Linked DNA regions of Caenorhabditis elegans. The protein of the gene in region 2 purifies or fractionates together with the protein of the main gene of each other region. This does not show direct contact. Each region holds a gene or a part of one and is shown on either strand. Other genes may lie near its edges. The genes, in order: T08G5.1 and K11H12.5.

Evidence for each region.
Region 1: the proteins of K11H12.5 (region 2) and T08G5.1 fractionate together in Caenorhabditis elegans (co-fractionation; one large-scale study listed by BioGRID). This does not show direct contact.

The regions. Positions count from the first base shown.
Region 1 is NC_003283.11:14,015,559-14,021,585, reverse strand, and holds T08G5.1 (Titin), read right to left. Parts: upstream 2,821-6,027; 5' UTR 2,387-2,820; coding exon 2,344-2,386; intron 2,300-2,343; coding exon 2,231-2,299; intron 1,957-2,230; coding exon 1,533-1,956; intron 1,490-1,532; coding exon 1,405-1,489; intron 1,359-1,404; coding exon 1,254-1,358; 3' UTR 1,198-1,253; downstream 1-1,197. Other genes in the region: mtl-2 (Metallothionein-2), read left to right, coding at 2,967-2,982, 3,040-3,215; srh-308 (Serpentine Receptor, class H), read left to right, coding at 4,010-4,328, 4,842-5,035, 5,086-5,389, 5,433-5,608; end-3 (GATA-type domain-containing protein), read right to left, coding at 5,736-5,862.
Region 2 is NC_003282.8:673,304-680,456, reverse strand, and holds K11H12.5 (DUF4276 family protein), read right to left. Parts: upstream 3,796-7,153; 5' UTR 3,774-3,795; exon of another isoform or gene 3,749-3,773; intron 2,847-3,748; 5' UTR 2,842-2,846; coding exon 2,471-2,841; intron 2,145-2,470; coding exon 1,988-2,144; intron 1,631-1,987; coding exon 1,286-1,630; 3' UTR 1,227-1,285; downstream 1-1,226. Other genes in the region: K11H12.10 (Neuropeptide-Like Protein), read right to left, coding at 3,796-3,877, 3,928-4,091; K11H12.4 (CUB_2 domain-containing protein), read left to right, coding at 4,584-4,700, 4,746-4,831, 4,879-5,027, 5,075-5,354, 5,719-5,941, 5,995-6,363; K11H12.3 (Hyphal_reg_CWP domain-containing protein), read left to right, coding at 6,977-7,093, 7,140-7,153.

The DNA.
Region 1 (6,027 bases), on a different chromosome or scaffold from region 2:
GAAAACTCAGGCAGCATTAGAAAAATGTCTCAATGCTTTTGATGGCGTTGCTGCTTTCAAAAATTCAACAAGTCTACAAAACCCGAAAAAAATTGAACGAATGAATGGATATTGTTCCACAATAGAGGTTGGTGAATCAAATCAATTTTTTCTACCCAAATTTTAGTTTTAGGCAAATTTTCCAGTACTCAAAAGATGTATGGACTACGATGCGAAATCCGTTGAGAAGTTACTATCCTTTTGCAGTTTTTACCAATTTTTTGCAAGCAAAATCTTCTGGAGATGTGCTCTAAAAATGAAGGACCAATATGGAAAATGCTTCAAAAAGTCAATGGAAACAGTTCTCGATGTTAATGTGAGTTTGAAAGATGTTGAAAAATAAAACAAAATAAAAAATGAAACACCATATGAAAACAATTTGAACAGTTTATTAAGTTTGAAAGAAATTTAAGTTTTTAATTTTTTATCTCCAATAAACATTAAGTATTCTCGAATTCAACAAACTTGATAAATATTTTTTAGAGTTTTCTGTGAAAAAAATTATTTTGTGATACATTTCCCTCTAATAAAAAATATCAAAAATATCAAAAAATAAAACAAATTGTTGCAAAAATGATAAAAACGAAAGTGAGTCACGGGAAAATAAGTGTGGTTCAGTCAAATTCAGATGCAATTCAAATGAGGAAATTAGAAAGAATTGTAGAATTTCAAAAAAAGTAATATTTGGCAAATTTATTGAGTTTTTTGTCTGTTTGTGGTAAATTGATATTTGGGATCAGGTTGAGCCTTCAAAACTTTCTCAAATCTTTCAGATAGAATCTTTCATGAGTTGAAATGCTCAAAACTTCAATCTGTGAGCAGTTGCTCGATGGAAGAAGTTCGGAACACGTGCAATATGAGGGCTTATCAGCGATATCACATGTTTTTGAATTCTCGACTTCAAGCATGGATATGTTAATAAATTATTTTTTCAAGTACAAGCTAAACTCAAAACTATACATTTTAATTGAAGGTTCAGTATCAAGTTTCTAATTTCTAAAAAAACAGTGGTCGCCAGATTACTTTTTATACTAGAGACGTTTGTAGTTCTATATTTCAGATTTAGTTATTAAATTCGTTAATTTTGTGTTACTATCTATACGTGACTACATATAAAATATTCATTTGTTCTTCTTTTATAAAAGTAAAAAGGTATTTTTTGAGCTCTCAAATTCTTTAATTGATTATACAACTTTCAAAAATTAAAGCAGGAATCACATTATAATTTTTGGGATTCCCCGATATCTAAATGGTTGTTTTGCGGATATTGACTTTCCTTTCAGATGACTCGGTGGCACTGCTTTTACAAATCGATTTTTCTGGAAAATTTTGAATTATTTAGCCTATAAAATCCACAAAACTTACATCATCCGGATGGCACCTCCTGAATTTAAGACCATAGTTGATAGTAGGTGGAGGAATTGTTGGATAACGTGGGTCTTGATGTACTCTGAAAAATTTTAAATGGTTGTGTAATGAGTGTCAGAGCTCACCGAATTTTTCTGGAGTGATGTCTTGGACGATATGCAATGTTTCTGGGTTTTTGATGGTGCTTTATACTATTAAAGTTTCTTAATACAGTAACATCCTCGTTATTTTGAGTATTTCGAGAAGTTGAAGTATTTCTTTGCTTTCTCATTTTTCTTCTAACTATTCGCTTTGGCTGTTTCTTCACTTTTCTTTTCTTCTTATGTGTTTCCGTTGTGTAAATTGGACCAGGTAGAATAATCGGTGATTCAACTTCCCGAATAGTCATCACTTCGTAATTCATCATTCTATCGTCATCTTGTTCACGAGAATGATTGTCAAATAATCTTGGCTGCTCTGTAATAACATCTTCCTGAAGACGAGCTTCACTAAAGCGCCTTCTGACAGAATCAGGGCTTGTTGGCACAGAGTTGAATGGGGTCCAGTCGTCTGAAATTTTAAAATTGAATCACTTTTACGGGTAAGGCAGGATATCACGATAGTGTCTAAAAGGAGGAAGAATTTTTTCTTGTTTTCTGCCTGGAATTGTTTCAGGATTAAAATAGCAAGCCTCGAAGTTTGCCCGCTGGCCCGAAATAGCCTATTCATCAGTCAGCCGCAGAAGGGTTGTTTTTGGGGACCCCGCTTTACCGGTGTAGTATTATTTGACATTGGTAATTTTTTAATTACGGTTAAACATAAGTTAAACAATAAAATTACAAACCTGCACAAAGAGTTCCTGGGCCACATAATGTTTCATCAATATCACTTCCCCAGGCGCTATGTCTATCTTCTGAAATCTCAGTTTTCTTTTCTAAATTAAATAATATTTCAAACCTTCTACATGTTCTGGAGCGGTTCTGGAACTTTTTTGTCCCATAGAGAATACAAAAAGAGACGAAAATGGTTCAGTGGAACGAAACAAACGTGGGATGTAACCATGGAAGTGAGAATAATTGATGGAATAGCTAATGAGCTGAAGCTGAGTAGATCAGAGACTACTTTATTCTAAAAAGTACAGTAGTTGGAAAATTACATGTTTCATTTCTAATTTTCAAGGAAAAGCTAGTAATTACCGTAATCTTGTTTGTACCTGAAATTTTATGTACTGCAGGTGACCAAGTATGTTTGAGGCATGACTTCACACACCTAACTGATAAAGGCCTCTATCACAAACTAGAGTTGTGACGGAAAATTCAACTTCTCAGAATATAGCTCAAAATCTATCAAATTTTATTTTCAAAAATCCAAATAATTGTGCACGCAATGTACTTACTGCTTCATAAAGTTCAGAAGAATTGGATAAATTTGAATGAAGTTTTCAAAGCTTTTATCAGTGACTGTACATTGTGATAGGCTTGTGCTGTTATCAGCTGCCTCAAATAGGTTGTCGCTTGAAAATTTATATAAAAGGCCTACCAGCAGACATGAGAATCAAGCTTCAAAGGCTCTACTCAAAAATGGTCTGCAAGTGTGGTAAGTTGAAATTTCATTACGCTTTTAATTAATTTTGAATGAAACCCCCTTTCCCAGACTGCAAAAACCAAAATTGTTCCTGCAACACCGGAACTAAAGATTGCGATTGCTCCGACGCCAAGTGCTGTGAGCAATACTGCTGCCCAACTGCCAGTGAGAAGAAATGCTGCAAATCTGGATGTGCCGGAGGATGCAAGTGTGCCAACTGCGAATGTGCTCAGGCTGCTCATTAATTTGAAATTAATACTCTTCCCTTTGAAACAAATTCCTACTAATTGATATTGTTCGAGGTTTTTTCTTGAAAGCTGAAATAAATGTTAAATATTTATTGTAATTTCTTAGATTTTTAAACTGTCTTCCTTGTCAACGACCAGAAGCAAAAATTATGGGAATCGCGATAAAATTCAAGGAAAACTTTTGATCATCACTTTTGATCTTCACACGATTTGTTCCTTTTCAAGTAAAATATAAATCTTTTTCCGAACAGACTGAATCCATTATCAATTTTATAGACAGTGGAAAACATTTATCAAGTTAAGACAATTTTGAAAATTACGAAAAATCATTTGACCCAAATGGGTCAGGTGTTATTTCTTAATTCAAAAGATCTCAGAACCAGGAAAAAACATTTTTGTGTGGTTTGTTTTCAGCTGCTTTTCACTTAATAAATCAATTAATGCATCAACCAAATTGTTAAAAACTACAAATAGTGCGACTGAAAATTTAAAAATTGTGCCCAAACTTTTAATGAGGTTATCAATTTTCAATATCTCGAACATTTGGAAATTTTTGGAATTTTTTTGTTGGAAATTTGCTTAAAGTATTTACTAACTTTTGATCTCATATGTTTGAATGGGTTTAGATGGAAACTACCAAAGAACATGTGCAAAAGATCTCAGACGCGAAAAGCTTATCCTATTGAGTGATCAGTTTTAGAACAGGTGAAAACGTTTCCTAGCTAAATTATGAGCTTTTATCCCTTTTTAATTTCTCTCCGTGATTTACTTTATTACCTCAATACCTCAAAATGTGCACCGAGGATATTAATTTATTTGCGACTGATGAGTTCTATGCTGGAATTCTTCACGTACCTACAGCCATCGAAGTGACCGTTCAATTGTTCGGAGCATATATTATTTTAACTAAAACTCCGCGCAAAATATGTTCTGTAAAGTTCAACATGGTCTTATTGCACATTGTGGGAGCAATCGTCGATTTATATCTAAGCTTTATTGCATCTCCAATGCTAACACTACCTGTCAGTTCAGGATATCCTCTTGGATTCTCTTTAATATTAGGTATTCCAACTGATGTTCAGGTTTATCTTGGATGTGTTTTTGTTGGGGGTTAGTTTATTTTGAATTGGCTAACTAATGGTAATAGTATAATAAATATAAAACGTCTTATTGAAAACAGAAGCTTTATTATGTTTTCAGTTTCGATATGAATTAATCTAATCTCAATAACAAATTATTTGATTCCCAATTTTTTTGTGATGTCTTTGGCTTTTTATTTAAAGAAAACTTCGTGCCAAATTTTGGCAACGCACCTTTGACAACTTTCTGTCCAATTTCGGCAGTTTTCTGTCGAACCTTTGTAACTTCCGAGAGTGAGTAAGTTGTCAAGGTTTGAGAGAAAAATCCCAGAATTTTACAGTAGGTTGTCTAAGTTTGACCAAAAGTTTCCAAAGTTTGGCAGAAGATTGACTAAGTTTGTTGGAAGGTTGGACAGAGAACTGCCAAAGTTTGACAGCAAGTTCCCCAAGTTACGAATTTAATGTTTACTCTAGGGTTTTCAAGCTACTATTCCTTTTTAAATTATTCAATTTGAGAGGAACCGAACAATTCAATATATTTCAGTGATGTGCGTGGCTGTAACCATATTCTTCGAAGATCGCTATCACCGACTAATACATGGGCATACAACAAACGGATCACTGAACTGGAAACGTACCTTATATGTTGTATTAAATTATACTATATCAGTGACGTTTATTATTCCCGCATATTTAAAACTACCGAATCCTGAAGTAGCAAAGCAATATGTGAAAAATGTGAGTTTTCGTTTTTTTTTTGAAAGCTTTAACCAAAAAGTGAATTACAGATAAATCCATGTATTCCAAATGAAGTTCTCAATCGTCGGGAATATTTTGTATTTGCCACTGATAATACAATAGTCAATGCCTGTCTTTTGAGCATGTTCTTCATATGTCTTCCCCAAAAATTGTATTTTCTCGGAGCAATTTTTCGATACTTTTCCCAAACAGTGTCTCTCTCGGCAACTACTGCTCGCTTACAAAAGCAATTCTTCTATTCAATGTGTATTCAAATATTTATTCCAGTTGCATTCATCTCATTACCAGTTTCATATTTTGTCATGGCTTCGGAAAATGATTACTATAATCAAGGTAAAATTAAGCTGAAATTTGAAAAAAAAAATCATTTTTCCAGCTGCCACAAACATTGCGATGATTGCAATTGCATGTCATGGAGTTCTTTCCACTATAGTCATGCTTATTGTTCACACTCCACACAGGAAATCAATTCTTGCAACACTACATTTCAAATCTGAACAAGCTGTTCGAAATTCACAATTGATCTGGAAAACTGTAGTATCAAGAGCATGAAGTTTTTTTATTTATTTATTATGGAAACCAGCAGAGGGGAAATAAAACAAATAGTTAAATTATAACCGAAAGGTCATGTTTGATTAGAAAAATAATAATGCTTATTGCACAGAGTTGATCAGTTAAATCAAAAATTAAAAGCATTAGAGTCAACAAGTGGAGCAACTGGACGGCGTCTTCTCTTGGCAGCTGGCTTATTCCAAAGATGTTGTGGTCTTTTATGTCCTTTGACTCGTTCGTAAAGATTACACGGACTGAAAAATATGAGATTTAAAAAACTCAAGTTCAAAACTTTTACACCTAGAGAGCCCTCAAAAAATAGTGAAAAAAATTTCCACCAATTTTTTTTTGAAAATCGTCGATCAAAAAACAGACAATGCTTTGAATTTCTCGATAAGTGGTTAAAAAAAGAGTTTTTA
Region 2 (7,153 bases):
CATTTTCGGCGAATCGGTAAACCGGCACCTGATTTTTGTAACTTTCAAAGGGCCTCCAAACTGAGCAAAATTTTTTGTCTGTTTTCTATGATTAGTTATGGGAAATTTTGAAGTTAGAAACATTATACTGGAAAGCATGAACTCCATAATTTTCAGGAAAAAAATCATTTTGTTGTAATATGTTTTCTAGCCATTTTAGTCACCAGTTCACTTAATAAAAACTGTGTTCTAAAAGCTCAAAAATACAAGAACATTGGATGAAAAACCTTGAAAATCCAAAAAAAAAACTGGGGCTATTGTAGAGCACAGTTGCAAAAAGTTTATACTCAAGTAAAAAAGCTTCTGCTCGACCAATCATCGTAAACAAGACAAAAAAGAACACCGCATAACACAACAATGTGTGAACACCCTTCGTCTGCTCCGCTGCTCCGCCAACTTTTGATGATGATGTGTTTATGATAGGTGTGTGTGTGTGCTCCTCCTCATTCACCAGATGGCCTTTTACAATCACCGCCTGGCTTTACGTTTTCTTTGGTTTTTTATTTGTGACTTTTCCTTGGATTTCATATGTACATCATGTGGCTTTTGCTCTGACATGAAAAGTAATGTGTATTGTTTTGCGGGAAAAAAAACTATAGAACAACACAACAACAGCGAAAAATGTATGAAATTGGTGGAGCACAGAAGTAGGCAGTCACATTTTGAGACCAACGGTGATGACACATGTCTACCTACCTACGTGCCTGCCTATATATTTTTTTCAGCATTTTTATTAAAAAATTGGAATTTTCCGCCAAAATGTATTTTAAAGCTACAATCTGAGTTTACCACCATAATTATTGAAACATTAAAATTTTAATTTCTCACCAAAACGCAGAGAAAATTATTTTCAAAAAAATTTAAATTGAATTTCAATTTCTTGGAACAATTTTTAGAATTTAATTTTAATTTAATTTTCAATTTTTGAAAATACATTTAGTCCTTACCGAATAATTATATAATATTTTGAACTCGAAAATTTCCCGCCAAAAAAATTTTCAGAATAAATAATTTTTAAAATCATAATTGACATTTATTTTAAATTGAACATACCAAAATTATTACCCAGGCGGATTTTGCACCAAAAATACGGTACCTATGGTCTTGACGCGACAAATTTATTGTCAAATGAGAGTACGGTAATTTCAAACTTTCGGTGCTGCGGAATTTTCATCAATTTTTCAGAATTTTTCAATAAAAGTTTATTTATTATCGAAAAATCTAACTTTCATAAATTTGCATACAATTAAGACGGACACATTTTTCGAAGGAATTCGCTTTTGTTTTTCATATTCTTCAACGTATTAAATTCCACCCGATAAAACTGATCGGCCTTGTTTTTCGTGACATACTGTCCATCCAATTCAGATCTCATTTTAACACAAAGGTACAGCATTCCTCTTGAATTGTCATCTTTGTCAATTCTAGCTTTATTCTCGATAACTTTGAAAGCTTCCATTAGATTCAGAATCCGCGGATCTTTTGCAACAATGTCGTTAAACGATCGTAATGTGCTCGCAGAGTTTAGGAGCTCCGATGGACGAGCAATGACGAGCTTCATGGTATCTGCGTTTTCAGGAAGGTCACCATTCTGCAATTAAAAAATGTTGGAAACGTGTCTGGACTACCTTCTTGCCTGCCCGGTTTTCATTTTGCTGTATGTGTGCTTGCATGCCTGTCTACCTGCTTACCTTGTACCTAATTCATTCTTATCTGCCTGATTGAACACCTACGTACCTGTTTACTGCCTACGTGTTTTCCAACATACCCATTGTATGCCTTCTCATTTGCTTGCCTGTCTATGTGCCTGCCTCGTGTCTGACTGTTTGCCTACATACCTGCCTACGTACCTGCCTACATGCCTGCCTACATACCTTCCTTATTCCTGGCCTATTATCTACGTGCCTATTAGGCAGGCAGAACCTTCAAAAACAAGGTTAAAACCTACTTTTGAGCTGGCCATCCAATCCTTGATCGGTGATGTGAAAGTCGCATTGTACAGTTGGCAAATGTGAAAAACTTGCTCAAATAATCCGTCCGAGGTGTTAACAGCAGTATGCCTACTTTGCTTGAGAGATATCACAGAATGACATTTACCGACGGCTCTGCAAAAAGTAAATGTTTAGGGTAAGCTTTACAAGAAGGTACAGAATGCCTACGCATTTGTCTCAGAGAGAGAGAGTGCCTACACTTGCCTGGCGCCTACACTTAATAACGAATTAGCCTACCCGTCTACTCGCAAGGCAATCTTCGCTTGCCATGTGCCTACACCTACTTAGTAATGCACTTTATATCTACCTACCTGCCTTCAAAACATCTTTCGTCTGTCCTGTGGACGCCTACCGTCAGAACATAAACCTTTGTAGGCAGGCAGGTACGCACGTACGCCTAACGACCTACCTATCCAAAACCTTAAAAAATTACAACTTACTGTTTTGGAAAATCATTCGAAATTCCATCATACAAAAACACGGTCAGCTCTTTCGAAAAACAATCCACCAATTTTCCAATAACAGATCTATCAGCAATCCAAACTTTAGCCGTTCCATTTTTCAATTCCTGTTTCCTTTTTTTGAAGGCATCTTTATTCATATTCTTCAGAAAGCACTGCGTCATCTCACCGGATGAATAAAGTGCACGTTGAGCACGAAAACAGGTCTCATCGTCTTTTACAAAAATAAGGAATTGATTTGTGGTGTTGCTGGCCATTTGGAATACCATATGCACAAAACGTTCTTCGTTACTTGTCACCTCAAAATAAATGAGCTCGGGCTCTGCTGAGGCGTTTGAGGTCTCGGCCATCTTGTCTGGAAATTTAAAAATTGCCAACATTTTTTTTACACATTTAACAAATGTTTTACAAAAAAAATTAGCAAATTTGGGAAACCAGAATTTGAGCTATGAAAATAGCGGATTCTAGTATCTAGGCAAATAGGCAAAAGGTAGGCACGTAGGCTTGCAGCTAATAGGCCTGGCATAGTCCGCATAGGCACAGAGGCGTAAGGGACATGTAGGCAAGATGGCCCGAGGCAGGTAAGTTTGCCAAAAAAAAAGTCTGATTATTACGAAAGTCTTATAAAATATTAGTGTAATAACGGAGAGATTACGAAGCTAAATAAAAATAAAATAACTTCCGTAGAAGAGATTTAAAAGCCTTTAAAACTAAAAGTAAAGAAAAGGGAACAATTAAAAAAAAAAAGTACGCAAAATTGTAAAAATCACTTGTAGTGTATGGTGCAAAATAATAATAATAATATTTCGATAGGAGTAAATCGATGGAAGACTATAGCCTCTCTCTGGCAAGTACTATGGAGAGACAAGAGGCCGGGAGAGTGCGCGGTGTGCGCGCAAACAAAGGTAACTTTCCTATCTTCTCCAGTCTCGGGTCATTACAGTTTGCATTGAGATGTGTACTATCTTTTCCAGACTGAAGAGGACCGGTCAAGGCGTGAAGGGGCGCCTCTTATCCGCCCTGTCAGGAACATCAGGAAAGAAAATAGAAACTGCTGCAGGATGTTCTGAAGGCGTCCAGGTAGGCGAAAAATTCCTACGAGTTTACCTGTAGGTATAAGCGTGAGGCAACCGTAGGTAGCTTTCAAAGCTGGTAAGCAGGCGTAGAAATTGGCACGTGGTTCAGCGGTAGGTCAAGCCATAAGAAGGTAGCCTTGAAGGCATGTAGGCAGGCAGGTGCAAATGAAACACATTGCAATGGAATGCTCAAAAACTTTACTCACGACTTATGATAACAATCATCAATTACTCATATCTGCCGCCTGGACCAAATTTGATTGGACGAAGGGTTCGGAGCTTCATTGGCTGCTCGACTCGGGCTACGATCCTGAAAAGGTTGAGCTTCTGTCATTATTCAGAGAATTTCAGAAAACTCACTCATCACTGTCTGAATCGGCGGTCTTATGGTGTGGCATGTAGGTTGATGCAGTGCCAAAAAGAGCGACGAAGAGAAGGATGGTGAAGAATTGACGGAACATTATTTGGAAAATGTTTGATATTTTGAAAGAAGAAGGAATCAGTTTTATAGTTGAATTTTGCATAGAAATGTGGGAAATATGTTCAGATATGTAAATGATATGGAGATGAGAAAAATTTTAAGTGTGAGAGCATTTTTTTCAGGGCTTTCCATTCTTTGCAGATATGGACACATGATGCGCAATCCGCGACTTGTAAATGGTGTTCATTGTGCTCACTGAGGCATTATGTGGACATTGCGAATTACCTGTGCTTGAAAAGTTCTAAAATTTGAGATTTAATCTAACCTGTTACAATTAAGAAATAATAGAAAATCAATGATCACACTTCAGCTCACGATGACTCCACCGAAACGAATTCATATTTTATAGTAATGATGATATAACAATCACCTTTTTCTATATCAAACTAGGTACGTATTGAAATTCGGTCAAAAATTGACTCACCTCTCTCCCCCTCACGTCATTTTTTGCAAAAAATCCATTAAAATTGCTTATCAGTCCTGAGCGTCTGGCGCTTTTAAGCACTGTTACTCAATTGAATTTTCACTATTTGCCATGTCTAGAGTTTGTGTTTTCTTCCTTCTTTCATTTATTTTTTCGGTGCACGCCGACCCGAAAGTGGTGAATCTATTCCGAGTTACTTCACTTGGATCATTGACAATCAGTGTTGAGGTAAGGACTTAATCAATGTGATTTCAATTCAATGTTTGAATTTAGAGTGGAGGGAAGATTTTTCTAGCATCCGGTGATGACAATCAGTATCTGAAGAATATCCAGCTTACAACGGGGACTACAACTATTACGTAATATTTTATTAGTTTTATTAAAAATAGCAACCTATTAACTTTAGCCTAGATAAGTTGAACGATTTGAACGATGATGGATCTCCAAAGTTTATCACTGCAGCTGGAAGTGTGATTCTTCAAACCAGTAACAATGACACCACAACCAGTAGGCTTAGTGGATATATCTATGTCACTACATATCTACAAGCACAAGGTAAATATCACCTAGAAAATCTTCAAATTAAGTCTGGGAATTTTTAGATCCAACCTTTTCTGTGTACGTCCTCAAGACCACTCAATCAATCAGCAAAATGGGAATGAAGTCAACAGTAGTAGTTCTCAATACTGTTTTAAGACAAGAGCTTATTGACTACGATATGCCAAGAGCCATATCATATGTGACAAAAATCGATCATTCCCCGAATACAAATCTCTACTTCCAATGGGATATTCCTGCTTCGAACTGGAATGATGTGACCAATAATACATTTTTCCGAAATCCAATCGAGTTGAAAAATGGAACGGGTCCACATTTTAAAGTGTAAGTATAAAGAAGCCTAGGTCAAGCATAAACAGAACAGATGAGACCGAAAACTAGAACGCGGCCCAATTGTTGTTCAAAATGTCTCCTTGGTTGTTGGGCCGTTTGCGGCTGTTGGATAGCCACTTCTAGTCGGGTTGGGCCTTCTGATGCCAGCCATTTGACCGAATTTGGGCCGTGTTCAGCTTGAAAATAGCTATCTTCAAAATTTTCCTTTAAAAAAACTAGGAGGTTACGAAAGATTGAGCGGAAAGTGCTGTCAATCTCTAACGGATCGCAAATTTGAGTATGTTGAAGTTAGATCTTCAACTGTTTAACATTTTCAGATATAACTTTTTCATAAATAAGTCTTCATATCTTCCAGTTTCTTCGACAACATCGAACCCCTTCAAATTGGCCTAAACTATTGGTACATCACTTCTATGGGTCCCTTCAATTTGTTTTTAGAGAACAAATATGTGAGTGATCACAGTTATACGACCACTGCCGTCAACACAACTGGCATTATTGTGGGTAAATCGTTCTATGCCGACCGTGTCGTCAACTTCCAATCAGATACTTCAAGATCGTCTGCGTCTGGGTTTTTCGTGAGTTTTGGATAACCTTCCTTTTTAATATTTATAAGCTCTCAATTTTACAGGACTCTGCATATATCACCGATGATCTTACCATCAAATTGCAATTTGTCGGTGCTAGTTTTTCGAATACTTTAAGAAAAGAAAGTGAGACACAAAACTATGCCTGGTCCCCTGCAGCACCGGTAAATCTGACAGTTACCTCGACATCTACGCTTCCTGGAACATTTTACATTCAATATTTCGCATTTGCGGGTGATCTTCAACCACTGACAAGTACAGTCGCAACGAGCTTAATGCTACAAACATCGACGACTACTGTAGCAAGCACAGCAGTAACTACATCACGAATAATCACTACCACCAAAGGATCATCTTCAAATTGTGGAGTCCATATTTTGATTTCATTGCTTCTTTCAATGGTATTTTGTTAACGTTCTCATTATGTCTCTCATGCTATCTGGTGCTAATCATAAATCCTTTAAGTCTCAATTATATTTGATCAGCAGACTAATCAGTAGCAATAGTTGACTTTAATCCAAAAAGTCCTTATTATTATAACAGACCCACCAGGGGACATCCAGACATATCCCAGAGCCGAAAAGGTTTTCGTCTCATATGCTCGTCGTATTTGGATATTAAACCATCAACATGAAGTCCCTATCGGATGCATGTTGCGATGCTTTTACACTATCACGACGTGATGTCATTGCATCCCCGTTACAGTAGATCTTTGGATATTGCGGAACTTTAGACGCAAAGTTTTCAACTAGTATTATATAGCTAAGACCGCTGTCTAACCGAGCTCCATCTTTCCTGAGCTACAGTAACCCTACAGTACTCCTGCAGTACTTCAGCACAACTTAAGATATAGCACATGTACCACTCGGTCATACGAATATTGGCGAAAGTTCAATGGCCAAATTGAACTGGGCTCACGTCACTTTGCATGTTATCTGCAACACCCCTTAACCGCAAAATCTGACAGTATTGCTTATCAGTTTGGTGCGTCTAGCGATTTTTGACAACGAGTTTTCAGTATTTGCCATGTCTACAGTTTGCGTTTTCCTATTTCTTGCCCTCACTTTTTCGGTGCACGCTGACCCAAAAGTGGTGTATCTGTACGATGTTAGTTCTATTGAGTGGTTGACAATTGGTGTTGAGGTGGGGCTATTCAGCTATATTGCATTCTATTTTTTTTTTAATTCAGGGTGGAGGTAATAT